Linked DNA regions of Pelodiscus sinensis. The protein of the gene in region 1 purifies or fractionates together with the protein of each later gene. This does not show direct contact. Links are inferred from orthologs where the notes say so. Each region holds a gene or a part of one and is shown on either strand. Other genes may lie near its edges.

What was found.
Region 2: the proteins of MTMR4 (region 1) and DNAJC10 purify together in Homo sapiens (affinity purification with mass spectrometry; 3 studies listed by BioGRID and IntAct, counting the BioPlex papers as one, with this or other methods). This does not show direct contact. The link is inferred for Pelodiscus sinensis from reciprocal best matches to the Homo sapiens genes MTMR4 and DNAJC10.

What each region holds. Positions count from the first base shown.
Region 1 is NC_134731.1:19,042,046-19,049,129, forward strand, and holds the start of MTMR4 (phosphatidylinositol-3,5-bisphosphate 3-phosphatase MTMR4), read right to left. Parts: upstream 3,006-7,084; 5' UTR 2,991-3,005; coding exon 2,940-2,990; intron 2,830-2,939; exon of another isoform or gene 2,601-2,829; intron 1-2,600. UniProt on the Homo sapiens protein: Lipid phosphatase that specifically dephosphorylates the D-3 position of phosphatidylinositol 3-phosphate and phosphatidylinositol 3,5-bisphosphate, generating phosphatidylinositol and phosphatidylinositol 5-phosphate.
Region 2 is NC_134717.1:49,427,350-49,434,307, reverse strand, and holds the start of DNAJC10 (dnaJ homolog subfamily C member 10), read right to left. Parts: upstream 3,017-6,958; 5' UTR 2,756-3,016; intron 1-2,755. UniProt on the Homo sapiens protein: Endoplasmic reticulum disulfide reductase involved both in the correct folding of proteins and degradation of misfolded proteins.

The DNA of each region.
Region 1 (7,084 bases):
ATTGTGGTGGGCAGTTTTGGTGTTTTCCCCCTCAGCCGGGATGCTAAATTTTATTATGTTGTTACCAAGCATTTCAGATATACTTACCTTTTGGACCAGATCCTGTGCTCCACGTAGGGCTAGATCAAGAATTCTCTCCCCCCTTGTGGGTTCCAGGACTAGCTGCTCATAAAAATCAGTCTCTGCCTCCCATACCAAGGTGACATGTACCAAGCCAATTATGGAGAGTTTCTTTTTTATTTTTATAACCTCTCTAATCTCTGAGCACTTCATGGAGACTATTATCATAAACATCAGGTGGTCAGGAATATATCCCTATTGCTATATTCTTTTTATTCAAGCATGGAATTATTATCCACGGAGACTCTATGGTTCAGTTCGACTTATAAGATTTTTGATACTGATGCTTTCTTTCTCATACAGTGCCACTTCTTCACCCGCACAACCTATTCTGCCCTTCTGATATATTTTGTAACTTAGTATTTGTGTCCATTGATTATTCTCATTCCACCGAGTTTCTCTGATGCCTATTTCATCAATATCCTCATTAAATACAAGGCCTCTAGTTCACCTGCAATTATTTGTTTTGGCATTTGTATATAAGTATTAAAAATTATCTTTAACTGCCTGCCACTATCTGACAGAGTGAAAGGAAGGGGACATATCCCCTCAATGCACTTTCCAACATACCACTCTCTGGTGCTGGACCACTGCATTCAATGGAAGTGCACCCACTGAACTCAGTGAATGCAGGGAACAAGTTTCTACTTTTCACACAACATGCTTTCTGAGCTAATGGCATAAAAGTATCAGAGCACGTCAGTGAATAGGCACTGGGACACAGAAAATTAGATACACCTGGGCCTCCTGACAAATGTGTCAGGGAGAGCAGGAGTGGCAGGAGAAGCACTAGAAGTCCTGCAGACCTATTCCACCAAAATAGACCCTTGAATAGTTCCAGTCCAACAGTCCATAGATGGAAATATCAGTTCCAGGAGCAACTACACCTTTGAATGCCTCCTCCCCACCAACTTCCTTGAGAGCATTTATTTAAGGTTTCAGGGTTTCAACTGTCACCTCTCTTGGGGAGAGATGCAAGTCTTCATCCCTTTCTAATCAGGAGGTTAAACTGCAATCCCTGTGCAAGTCACTGCAATTTCCCAGCAATTCTGACTTGGGTAAAAGTAGTTGTGGTTAACACTTTCTCTACAGTTTCAGAAGTGCATGCTAGTTACCAACCAGTCTTCACAAAGCAAACAGTATTTATTCTTAGGGCAAATGCATTACAGAGAAAAAAGGCCATATCACGCAATAAGAGTCCCTACATACATGGTACTGCTTACCAGAGGTTACACAGCAGTCTTACTGAGTCTGAGCAGGGCAAAGTCTTTCCAACCCTTCCACAAGAGTTGGGCTCCCCCTTAAACAGAAGGTCTGTCTGTTTGCTAGATTAGACAGAAGCCCTGAGCCCATTTACAAACAGCTATTTTACATCAAAATCCATTCTTTGGCTGTTAGTCTTTGAAAAACCCAGTTTGAACCAGCATATGCAGCTGCCCTCATGGAGACAGGGCTCACTTCCACCGTTCTCTGTTCTTAGCAGAATGGAGGCAACTTTTCCCCCCACTACAGTTCTACACAAGCCCTAGCCCACACTGCTATATAAACCACCCACACACTTAACAAAACATGGCCCCCAAAGAAGTTGCATGTGGTTTCAGTATGTGTCTGAAATTGATCGCATTATTCAGCCCATGTCACTGGGTCAAACTAAAACGATCTTTGACATAACCCCAGGGCATGTTTAGTAAACAAAAGAAGCTATTGCACCCACCCTTCCCGGCTAGGATCCTCAAAGCATTAAAACTGGCTACTGGAGCAAGTGCCACGATTACAGCTGCCACCCGCAGCATTTCTTGGAGCCCAGGCTCATAGATTTACACACACAACCCCCACGCGCACACACCCCTCACCTCACCCCCCCGCCCCTCCACACACACCCCTCACCTCACCCCCCCCGCCCCTCCACACACCCCCACCCCTCACCTCACCCCCCCGCCCCTCCACACACCCACCCCTCCCCGCCCCTCCACACACACCCACCCCTCACCTCACCCCCCCACCCCCCCACGCACACCCCTCACCTCACCCCCCACGCCCCTCCACACACACCCACCCCTCACCTCACCCCCCCGCCCCTCCACACACCCACCCCTCCCCGCCCCTCCACACACACCCACCCCTCACCTCACCCCCCCACCCCCCCACGCACACCCCTCACCTCACCCCCCACGCCCCTCCACACACACCCACCCCTCACCTCACCCCCCCGCCCCTCCACACACCCACCCCTCCCCGCCCCTCCACACACACCCACCCCTCACCTCACCCCCCCACCCCCCCACGCACACCCCTCACCTCACCCCCCACGCCCCTCCACACACACCCACCCCTCCCCTCACCCCCCCGCCCCCCCACACCCACCCCTCCCCGCCCCTCCACACACACCCACCCCTCCCCCCGCCCCCCCCACACACCCACCCCTCACCTCGCCCCCACCTCACCTTCCCCCTCCGCACACCAGCCCCTCCCCAGGTCACCTGGAAGCGGCCTCCCGGCCAGTCTCCGCAGGGCAAGTGGCGGTGCCGCCCCCGCGGAGGCCCCGGGACGCTCGCAGCGCGCGAGCCCCGGCGGGGGGAGGGGCAGGCCGAGGCGGGCCGGACGCAGAGAAGCCCCCCGCCCTAGAGAACGGGCCGGGCTGAGCGAGGGGCGGGGCTTGGGGGCGTGTCGGGGACGCGCGCACGGCTCCGCCTGCCGGGGACGCGGCCTGCACGCGGACGCGCCGCGGGACACGTGCCGAGGGGGCCTGGGGGCGGGGCCGCGGTAGGCCCGCGCGGCGCTGGGGGGAGGGGGGACTGGCCCCAGAGCGAAGGTCTCACCGCGGTCCGTCTCCACCACTCCAGCCCCGCCGCGTACTCCTCCGCGCGCATAACCTGCCGCTCCAGCCAATCAGCGCCAGCCGCGCCGCGAGCCAATCACGAGTGGAGTCTCCTCCCGCCCGCGGCACCGCCCAGCCTAGGCCCGCGGAGATTGGACACGCCCCCGCCTCGCCAGCCTATCGGGGGTCCCAACCCGAGGGGCGTGATCACATAGGGGCACGTCCAGTGATCGATCACAGCGCGTCCCCCGCGAGCCAATGGAAACCCGTCTCCTCCCCGGCAAGGCCCCGCGCTCATTGGCGGCTCAGCCTGCTGCGTGCCTACGTCACCGGAATTGGACGGAGCACTTCCGGGGCCGCGCGAGGGGGCAGCATAGTGGGCACGGTCTTCATGTCACTCAAGAGGCCTGGTCCCGCCCCCGGCCTGCAGGGCGGGTGGACAGTGCGACTGGAGACTCGCTCCGGCCCCGCCCTCCCGCGCACGTGGCTCTGCCCCTGCCTGTGGCCCCCCCAGCTCGCCCGGCTGCGGGGGCCTCGGGGGGCGGGCCTGCAGGGGGGGCTCAGGGGAGGGGGCGGGGGGCTCAGAGCAGGCCTGCAGGGGGGGCTCAGGGGAGGGGGCGGGGGGCTCAGAGCGGGCCTGCAGGGGGGGGCTCAGGGGAGGGAGTGGGGGGCTCAGAGCGGGCCTGCAGGGGGGGGCTCAGGGGAGGGGGTGGGGGGCTCAGAGCGGGCCTGCAGGGGGGGGCTCAGGGGAGGGGGTGGGGGGCTCAGAGCGGGCCTGCAGGGGGGGGGGCTCAGGGGAGGGGCGCTGCTTCAGGCTAGTCACGCTGCCTGCTGTACTCGCAAAACCTAGGGGAGGGCTGCCCCGCGGAGCTTTGGCAGGAAACTCAGGGAGCGGCCGCACCTCAGACACGCTCCACTGCTGGACAGGAGGGAGGCTTGCGTGCAGGAGTCACTCCTGTTTGCACAAGCATTATTGTGCAAAAAGACGTGTGTGGACAGGCAGCAAGGCTGTTCTTGCACAAAAAAACAATCGAATCAAGCACAGGTGCTCTGGCGGCCGTTCTGTTAATGGCAACCAGAGCTTTCTTGCGAGGCAGCATCCTTGCAGCGTAGACGCACACTCTTGTGCAAGAAGTTTTTGCTGATGAGCTCTTCCTCAAAAAGCTTTTTGCGCAAGAAGCCTGCAGTGTAGACGTCAGCTCCGGAACATGAATATTCTTCTCACCAAGCAACATAATGTGGGCAGGAGAGCTGCTTCCGTCGACAAATCTGGTGCCACTTCCAGAGGTGGCGTTTTATGCCAATAGGAGAACTCCCTCCCACCACTGCAAGTTGCAGTACTGTGGCTATGTCTACACTACAAGGTTTTTGCGCAAAAACCTGCGGAGGGTCCACACCTCAAATGCGCTTTTTGCAAGTAAAGCGGCAGTAATACAGAAGAACAGAGGGCTTTTTCCGGTGTAGGTAAACCTCCTTTTATGAGGTATAACTCCTTTTTGCGCTATAGCTATTGCACAAAAGGCAAGTGTGGACACTCCACAAGGGTTTCTTGCACAAAAAGAGCCTATCCAAAAAAGCACAGGTGCTCTGACGACCATTATGTGAATGGCCATCGGAGCTTTCTTGCACAAGAGCATCCATGCAGTGTGGACGCTTTCTTGTGCAAAAGCGTATCACAAAAGTGATGCACTTTGAGGTGTGGACGTGCTGTTGCACAAGAAGCCTGCAGTGTAGATGTAGCCCAGTGGTCCCCAACGCAGTGCCCGCGGGCGCCATGGCGCCCGCCGAGGCATTCGTGTGCGCCCACCGACAACCTGGGCTGGCCCGGCACACGGGAGGCGGCGGCTCCAGGCGTGTGACACGCACCAGCGCTGGGTGCGCGGCGCTCGGGTGGCCCCAGGCCCGGGGCACATGCGGGCGCTCAGGAGCGCGGTGCTCGAGCGGCGCTGGTGCCAGCCCCAGGCGTGTGGCTGTGGCGGCAGCGCTGGCCCACGGCACAACGCACTCGGGCGGCCCCAGCCCCGGCCCTAAGGCACACACCGGCGCTGGGTGCAAGGGCATCCCAGTCCCCTGGCGTGCCCCCGGGCGCCCGGCGCATGAGTGGCCCCACCTCCTGGGCTCCCGGGAGCCTCTAAACGTTGGGGACCACTGATGTAGCCTGTGTGTGTAGACATGCCCTCAGAGGCTTAAAAATGGAGGGTGTAGCTCAGCTTGTCTACACTGCTCCTTCTTGCGCAAAAACCCCCTCTTGCACAAGAGCCGTTCTGCCTAAAAATAAGTGGCAGAACGGCTCTTGCGCAAAAGTGCCTTGTGCAAAAATGGCAGCTTATTAGGTATGCAAATGAGGGGTGGCAATATTCATTGCTGCACCTCATTTGCATGTCTTGCGCAAGAATGCGCAATGTAGATGTAGCCTGAAGGGCCACAGATTAGATGTTCCTGACCTACAGCAAAGCAATACAGTGGCCAGATGTTTTCTTTTTGCAGCTTTTTGTCACCAGCCATCATTGGCTTAGTGGCTCGGAGACAAGTTTACTGTGTACTGGTGAGTCATCTGACCCTATAGTCCCTGGCACTTGGATCCCATAGTCCTTTCCATAAGGGTTTGTCCAGTGAGCTTTGCCAACATTTTTCCCTCTGCAGGGTTCTACAGTGGGAGCCGCCTTTCAGTGGCATATATGGATGTATGTGCAGCACTGGGAGATAGAGACTTGAGAGAACTAGCATTTCTGAAGATTAGTAGGTATGGGATGGGCAAAGCCTATTGGTTATGATGTGTCCCAGCTCTAGGACCACGATGGGGTCACTCTCTGCAGTGCATTTCCCAGCACCTCACATCACTTGACTAGCACAGATTCTACCACTGGGTGTGTCTAGACTACATGGCTCCGTCAAAGATGAGTTTACCAGACAGCAAAATGAAGCGGTGATTTAAATAATCGCCACTTCATTTTCCTCAAATGGCCGCTGCACTGTGCCAATCAGCTGTTTGTCGGCACAGCGCGGTAGTCTAGACGGGGATCAGCCGACCCCCAGCTCCCTTTGTCGTCAGATCCCTTATGCCATTGACGGAGCCATGTCGTCTAGACACACCCACTGAGTTGGCAGCGTCATTCCACAGCTAATGCAGCTCACTGTGAGGAGGGACTTTCTCCCTCCTGTTCAGTATCAATCACTGTTTGTTTGCTTTGCAAGTTAGGAAAATTAAAGTATCATCATAAGAAACAGCTCAAGTTGTTGGGGAAATCATTGATAATGCTGGTCAGGCTTTGCTAGACTGGTGAGACGTCGGAGGAGGGGGGGGAAGAAGGATGAAAATAAACAGTTCACACTTTATGCCGTTGATTTAGCAGGCACTGAATTTAATTTGGTTAGTCAATGTCTAGTGTTCCTTGCTGCAGCCCCTGGCGGGCAGAAATGATGGACTGTGATCACCGTTCAGGTGCTGCAGCAGAAGTGGGTTAAGAGAGGTGGGGATTTACCTGCCAGTTCAGGGCTATTACTGCCATAGCACCAAGTGGGGGCTGCTCCGGAGCCTGCATTGCAGAGGAGGCTGTCCTTGTACCATATCGTTGTCCCTGAGGGAATGGCCTTTCAAGTAAAAATATTCCACATGGAGCCTCATGGTTGTCCTAGTTCCGTTTTGGGAATACAATCAGACCAGGATGGTAGGCATCAAGGGCTTGATTTCTAGGAGGGCTGAGTCCCCACAGCTGAACTTGGATCAACTTACTTATCAGGAGTCCAGGTGGATTTTTCATCACTGACCATTTTTCAGCCAAGACTGGTTGTTTTTCTCAAAACTCTGCTCTAGGAATTGTGTTAGGGCAGGTCTCTGATCTGTGCTTTACAGGAGGACACACTAGAAGATCCCAATAGTCCCTGTTTCCATGGAGTTTATGAAATTACGAGTTGGAGTTCGTAATTGCTGCTTCTTGGCATCTCTGGAAATGAGGGCACAAACGGCCAGAAACAGTCCAGGTGAAGAGGTGTTCACAAGCCCAGAAAACAACTGTTTAAAATGGCCCTATTGTCTCCAAAAGCCACACAAACTGCCACTCCCTTTCTACACTCATTGCTTTACAAGGACACGGTAAATCCAGCTCTGACATAACCACAGAAGATGAGAAATGGAAATCAGAGAGA
Region 2 (6,958 bases), on another chromosome or scaffold:
ATTAATTTTTCCAGTTATTAACGTCGGGTGCCTTCTGTAGATGCTGTTAATATTTCTTAGTAACTTATCAACTAATCAACATCTTTTGATATTTCTACGTAACTTAAATGTTAGTGGACATTAACTTTATCATTCCGTTTCTGGTATGGGGTACTTCTTCAAAGATTTACTCATGGGATAAGCTCCTAATGAAGGATATGAAAATCTAGACATGTTTACTGTTGAGGAATACATTTGTATGCTGATTGTTTTTCCCGCCCAATATTTGTTTTTCCTGCCCAATATTTATTTTCTTTAGTCTCACTCACTCAGGTATAGGAAGATGAGATATTTCTGCATGTGAAAGCAAGTAGGTTGAAATCCGTTATTTTAATATTTCACTCCTCGGATGAAAGGGTACTTCTACAATTGCACCCTAGTTTGAACTAGGGTTGCAAATGTAGGTGACCGAAATTGCTAATGAAGCTGGGATTTAAATATCCCGTGCTTCATTAGCATGATCTCGCCAGCACATTACTTTGCTGAACAGCTGTTTCGAAAGTGAAAGTGCGCGCTGGGATGTGTTAGTTGGAACCAAATCCCGTAGTTCGAACTAATGTTACTCCTCAAAGGGTTTGGTTCGAACTAACGAAACGTGCACTTTCACTTTCGAAACACCTATTCAGTGGAGTAACACGCTGGCGAGATCAAGCTAATGAAGTGCAGGATATTTACATCCCCACTTCATTAGCAATTTCAGTTGCCTACATTTGCATCCCTAGTTCGAACTAGGGTGCAAGTGTAGACATACCCAAAGATTGTACACCGTGCTTCATTAGACAGTTGAAACTTATTAAAAATCAATATGACCCTAAAAACCACTTCAAGTAATTTGAGTGAAACTGATCTAGGGTGCCTTCAGAGTCATTCAGCCTGTTGTGTGCCTATGCATGCAGGAGTGGATATTGTCTGTCCAGGCATACAGGTTGTGTGAAACAGCCTGGGAACAAAGATACCTCCTTTAGCATCTTATTCTAGGGTGAGATAATAAAATACCAAAATGCTCATTTAAACACCTGTATAAACATGGCACAAGAGGGCAGGAAGAGAACAGAGGATAAGTGTGTGACATTGACGGAGAAGAAAGAAGGAGATGAGGGTGAGGGAAAGTAAGAGGGCAGAATAGGGTAAAACAGGGCCAAAGAAAAGTAGAAATGGGGAGAGGATGCTTTAGAAGAGGCAGGTTAGGGTTAAGGAGCAGATCTGGGAAAGAAGGGAAGAGTACCAGGATGGACAGAATGGAAAGAGGGAAGCTGCTTGAGGATAGGAAAGTGCAGAGGACTGGGGAAAATATCCCAGGAGGAAGCTCAGGGGATAGGGGAGTAGGTGAGAGCAAGGCTGGGGTGGATGCAGCCCGGAAGGAGAGAAGGCTGAAAGCAGAGATGGGGCTGGAGGGGGGGGGGGGGGGCGGGGAGGATATCCAGGGACAGTGCTAAGAGATGGTGGGGGAGGGGAGGAGGAGCTGAGAGTAGACCTGCAGCACAGGTGGCCCAGAACAGATGCTGGGGGGAGGGGAGGAAGACAGGAAGGTAAAAGTAGGACTGGGGTGCAGGTGTGGCCCAGGGCATATGATGGGGAGGGCTGAGAGCAGGGCTGGGACAGCCCAGGGAGGATGTTGAGGGGATGGAGAGATGGTGGCGACAGGAGCCAAGAGGATGGTAAGGGGTGTGGGGCGAGAGGCTGAGAGTAGGACTAGGTGGGAGAGGTGGCTCAGGGAGGATGCTGAGGGCTTGTAGGGGGTGGGGTGGTGGTGGTGAGATGAGAGCGGGGCTAGATGGAGGAGACTGTGGAGCAGGGGCAGCTCAGAGAGGATGTGCTGTGTGTGTGTGTGTGGGGGGGGGGGTGCGAACCAAGACAAGGAAGATGCTGGGGGAGGGATGAGAGCAGAGCAGGGCAGGGCACAGGGAGTTGGGGGATGCTGTGGGGGTAGAGGAGAGGAGCTGAGAGCAGGGCTGTGGCGGAGGGAAGATGCTGAGGGCAGGGCACAGGGAGTTGGGGGGATGCTGTGGGGGGAGAGGAGGGGACAGAGCAGGGCTGGGGCAGAGGGAAGATGCTGAGGGTGGGGTGGAGGAAAGCTGCTCGGGGAGGGCTGAGTGCGGGGCGGGGTGTGGAGAGTTGGGGGGATACTGTGGGGGGAGAGGGGAGGGGCTGAGAGCAGGGCTGTGGTGGAGGGAAGATGCTGAGGGCAGGGCGCGGGGAGTTGGGGGGATGCTGTGAGGGGAGAGTAGAGGTGCTGAGAGCGGGGCTGAGAGCAGGGCGGGGCACAGGGAGTTGGGGGGGATGCTGTGGGGGGAGAGGAGAGGGGCTGAGAGCAGGGCTGTGGCGGAGCGAAGATGCTGGGGGTGGGGAGTTGGAGGGATGCTGTGGGGGGAGAGGGGAGGGGCTGTGGCGGAGGGGGCGCGGGGAGTTGGGGAGATTCTGGGGGGGGCGAGGGGCTGAGAGTGGGGCTGGGGCAGAGGGAAGATGCTGAGGGCGGGGAGTTGGGGAAATGCTGGGGGGAGAGGGGAGGGGCTGGGGCAGAGGGGGGCGCGGGAATTTGGGGGGATGCTGGGGAGGAGAGGGGCTGAGAGCGGGGCTGTGGCGGAGGGAAGATGCTGCGGGCGGGGAGCTGGGGATGCTGGGGGGGGAGGGGGCTCAGAGCGGGGCTGTGGCGGAGGGAAGATGCTGCGGGCGGGGAGCTGGGGGGACCGGGCGCAGGGACGAGAGGCGGGTTTACCCTTGTGCTCCTTTCCCGGGCCGGCCAGGCCGCCCGTCCCGCTGTGCGCGGCGCTCGGGTCCCGGCGGGATGCGCAGGAGCCGGCTGCTGGCAGGCGGCGGAGGAGGGGCCGGCCGCGGAGCAGCATGGGGCGAGGGCGGATCCGGCTCGGAGCCGGAGCCAGGAGGGGCCGGGCGATTGCTGCGTCACCAGGCCGGGAGGGCTGACGTGGCCGCGGCTGCTGCGGTGGTGGCGAGGCTGGGCGGTGCCAGAGCCGCCCGCGCCCCAGTCTCTGCGCTCGCTCCTGGCCCGGCGCGGGGCTATAAACCTCCAGGGCCGGGGGCGGCCTGAGTTGGATTCTGTTTCGGGGGTGGCCCAAGTGGGGTCGGGCTCGCTCAGCAGGGCCCGGGGAGGAAGCGCCCCCCCCCCCGCCGGCCGCCCAACCTGTCAGACCAGCCTTTGTGTAGCGAGGGCCCTTGTGCCCGCCCAGCCCCACCCATGGGTGCTCCATGTACAGCAGCAGTTGCTGGCTTCCGCCCAAAGGGAGCACCTGGGCTCGCAGCTTCAGCCCTGTGGCTTCTTGCGGTGCACTGGGGCATGGGGCTGCAGCCCCATGGATCCTGGCTTTGGGCCTGTTGGAGGATGCTGGAGTTCTGTTCTGTAGCTGCAGCCTTGTGGAGCCGCTGATATGGTTCTGGCCCACTGAGGGGCCACGGGCTTCTGGTTGAGAACCTGGTGTACAGTACAGACTCGGACCTTTTTTTTTTCCTCACGACCCAGTTGAAGGAAATAGTTGTTGCCTGTGACTTAATTATATCTTTTGACTAGCATGCACGCTCTGGCATGGGGCTGGGGATGAGGGTTTCAAGCTGAGGGGTAGGGAAAAGAGGTTCAGGGCGTGGGAGGGGGCTTAGGGCTGGGACAGGAGGATGGGATGCTGGGAAGTGTGGACTCTGGAGTGCAGGCTTTGGTGTGGGTCCAGAGATAAGTTTCAGGAGCTTACCTCTGCAGGGCTTACCTCTGCAGTCACCTGTTCAGTGGCACAGCAGCGGTGCTTCCTGCCTGTCCTGGCATTATGCACGGTGTTGTGCTCAGTTCCTAGGTGGAGGTGCACAAATGGCCTTGCATGCTTCTCTCTGCTTCGGGCATCAGTCCCCACAGCTGGGCAGGGCAGTGCCTTGTGGCCCTCCATCTAGGAGCTAGATCTGATGTTGTTTGCGTCTGGTGTGCAGTGTGGTCCGTTGTAGCAGGGCAGACAGGAAACCTGCTTTAGTCCCTCCACTGGTTGCATGGTCACCCTTCAGCAGGGTGATCCAGTGCGTGGCATGTTACAACCTGTTGTACTACTTTAAAGTACAGTAGCACTGGTTGGTGTAGCAAGGGAGAGCTGGGAGATGAGAGTTCCCAGGGAGAGGAAAGGTGGAAGTGTACTAGCAGAGCCATCTTTATATGATACTTGTTGGCTCATTAGTATTTGTTTCTTTTGGACTCTCCTCTCCCCCCCCTCCCCTTTAGGTGGGTAGGAGCTGTAAAGTATCCTGACAGTCATCATCCAAAACTTATTCTTTAGGTTTTGAATGGGTCCTGGAAAACAGCTCACCGTGCCCAACTGTTGCCAGAAATCTTTGGAATAGAATTTCTGTGATATTGATTGCATATTGCCTCTGCAGAGACTTTGTTTCAAGCAGCATCAAGTAGTTTACATATATCAACCAGCATGAAAATTACTTAATTACTGTATTTTACATAAACAAAATTAAGTGACTCAAGACTTAAACCAACAAAAGTCAAGTTGACACAAATGCAGAAAGGCGTTGGTTGCAAATGGTATGTCAACACGAACTTTGTGTGCTATTGTCGCTTGTATCACAATCTTAGTTATTTGAACATTCTTTTGAAAAAAAATCTGTTAGATCAAAAAAAGTATGAGAATTTGTCATCTTATGTTAAATATATATTAGCTGAGGTTTTTTTTGGTTTTTTTTATGTGACTATAAACTTAGTAGAACCAAATTGGTTCTAACTTGGCTATTTTCATTTGTAGGAAGAGATTAGCCTAACACATTACATTGTCCTCACAATTAATTATTAACAAAGTAGCAATAATAAATGAATTTTAAAAAGCATCCTAACTAAAATTGGGGAACTGACAGATGTACTCACTTTATGGTCTATGTAGGTGCTTCCACTTCATCAGCAGGAAGAAGTCCTAATAAATAAACACAACTGTGACACAGTTGGTATCAAAGAGATGTGGTGGGATAATACACATGATTGGAATACTGTATAGAAGCATACAGCTTACTCAGGATGGATAGGCAAGGTAAATAGGAGGTGTTGCCATGTATATTAAAAATGTACACACTTGAACTGAGGTGGAGCTGGACATCAGATACAGATGTGTTGAGAGACTCTGGGTTGGATTAAAAGGGATAAAAAACAAGGGTGATGTCATGCTAAGGGTCTACTACAAACCACCTACCCAGGTAGAAGAGGTGGATGAGGCTTTTTCTAAACAACTATCATTCAAAGCACAGGATTTAGTGGGGATGGGGGCTTAACTATTCAGACATATGTTGGGAAACTAACAGCGGGGCACAGACTATCCAATAAGTTCTTGGACTGAATTGAAGACAATTTTTTATTTCAGAAGGCTGAAAAACCTACAAGGGAGGAAGCTGTTCTTGATTTGATTTTGACAAATAGGGAAGAACCGGTTGAAAATTTGAAAGTGGAAGGCAGGTTGGGTGAAAGTAATCATGAAATCATAGAGTTCATGATTCTAAGGAATGGTATAAGGGAGTACAGCATGAATTCTATATTTCTGGGTTTTTTTACAAAGCTCATTTTTGTGTGGGGGTTTTGAATACCGGCGTAAGGCAGTGAACGGGGAGAGGCAATACTAAGTACCAAGAGTGGTATATTAACTTGATCATTTTAATAGGATAGTCCCACTTTTTCATTTGATATCCTGGGGTCCCAAAACCATTTAGAATGCCTGAAATAGCCTGATTTTTCATTTAATCAGAACATTCAGAATTGTTATGAACTTGAAGAGATTTGTTCAAGATTTATTGTGATACAGGCAGTCCCCGGGTTACATACAAGATAGGGACTGTAGGTTTGTTCTTAAGTTGAATTTGTATGTAAGTCGGAACTGGTACATATTGTACCCCAGGTGTCCTCGATTCAGCCGCTGCTGAAACTGACCAGCACTGACTACAGGAAGCCAGAGGCAGAGCTGCTCTGCCCCGGGCTTCCTGGAATCAGCCGCTGATCAGTTTCAACAGCGGCTGAATCGGGGACACCTGGGACAGAGCAGCTGGGGCGCTGCTGGGTGGGTCCAGTAGCGCCGCACCTCGGCGCTGTGGGACCAACCCGGCAGCTCCCCAGCTGCACTACCCCAGGCGTCCTGATTCAGGTGTTGCTGAAACTGACCACCTGTGAGAAAAGCCTGGTCTGCTGGGGGGAGGGGAGTGCACTAGCTGCGCCTCCCCCAGCAGACCAGGGAGACGCGGAGCAGCTTTTCTCGCCGCGGAGGACGCGGGCGGCGGGACCGCGGCATTTCTTGGCTGTCCTGCCACCAGTGTCCTCCGCGGCGAGAAAAGCCGCTCCGCATCTCCCTGGTCTGCTGGGGGGGGGGGGGGCGCTAGCTCCGCGTCTCCCTGGTCTGCTGGGGGAAGCGCCCCCCACACTGCCAGAGGTGGCGACAGTGGGGGAGGCACCCCGCACTAGCTGCGCCCCCCCCCCCCCGTTCGTAACTAGGGGTCCGACTTAAGTCGGATTGACATAACCCGGGGACTACCTCTATTGACAAAATGGGGCCAAATCTGACTACGTTTAAGGGGAAGTGAAGTCTTTGCCTGGGTAAACCATATTTTTGGTTATCAGTAACTGAATGTCTAAGTTGGGTGTAGGCTTTGGCAGTGCTAAGCATTTACAAATTTATTTATGCGATAAGGAACCAACATGACCCAGAACTGGATGGAGAGTGTGTGGCCATAGCTGCCAGTCTCCTCAGTGACTACCACCAGCAGAATATCTGCAGAGCCTCTGCACAACTTAAAGCTTGAGTGTAGCCCAGTAGAACTTTCATAACCCTCTTTGGAATATTATATCCTAGATGTGGTGTCTTGTTTTGGTGTCTCAAGTGGGTAGAGTTTCATTTGTGTTTGGAGCCAGAAAGAGTACCACTGCTTTTCCTCCTCCTCCTCCTCTAATTGA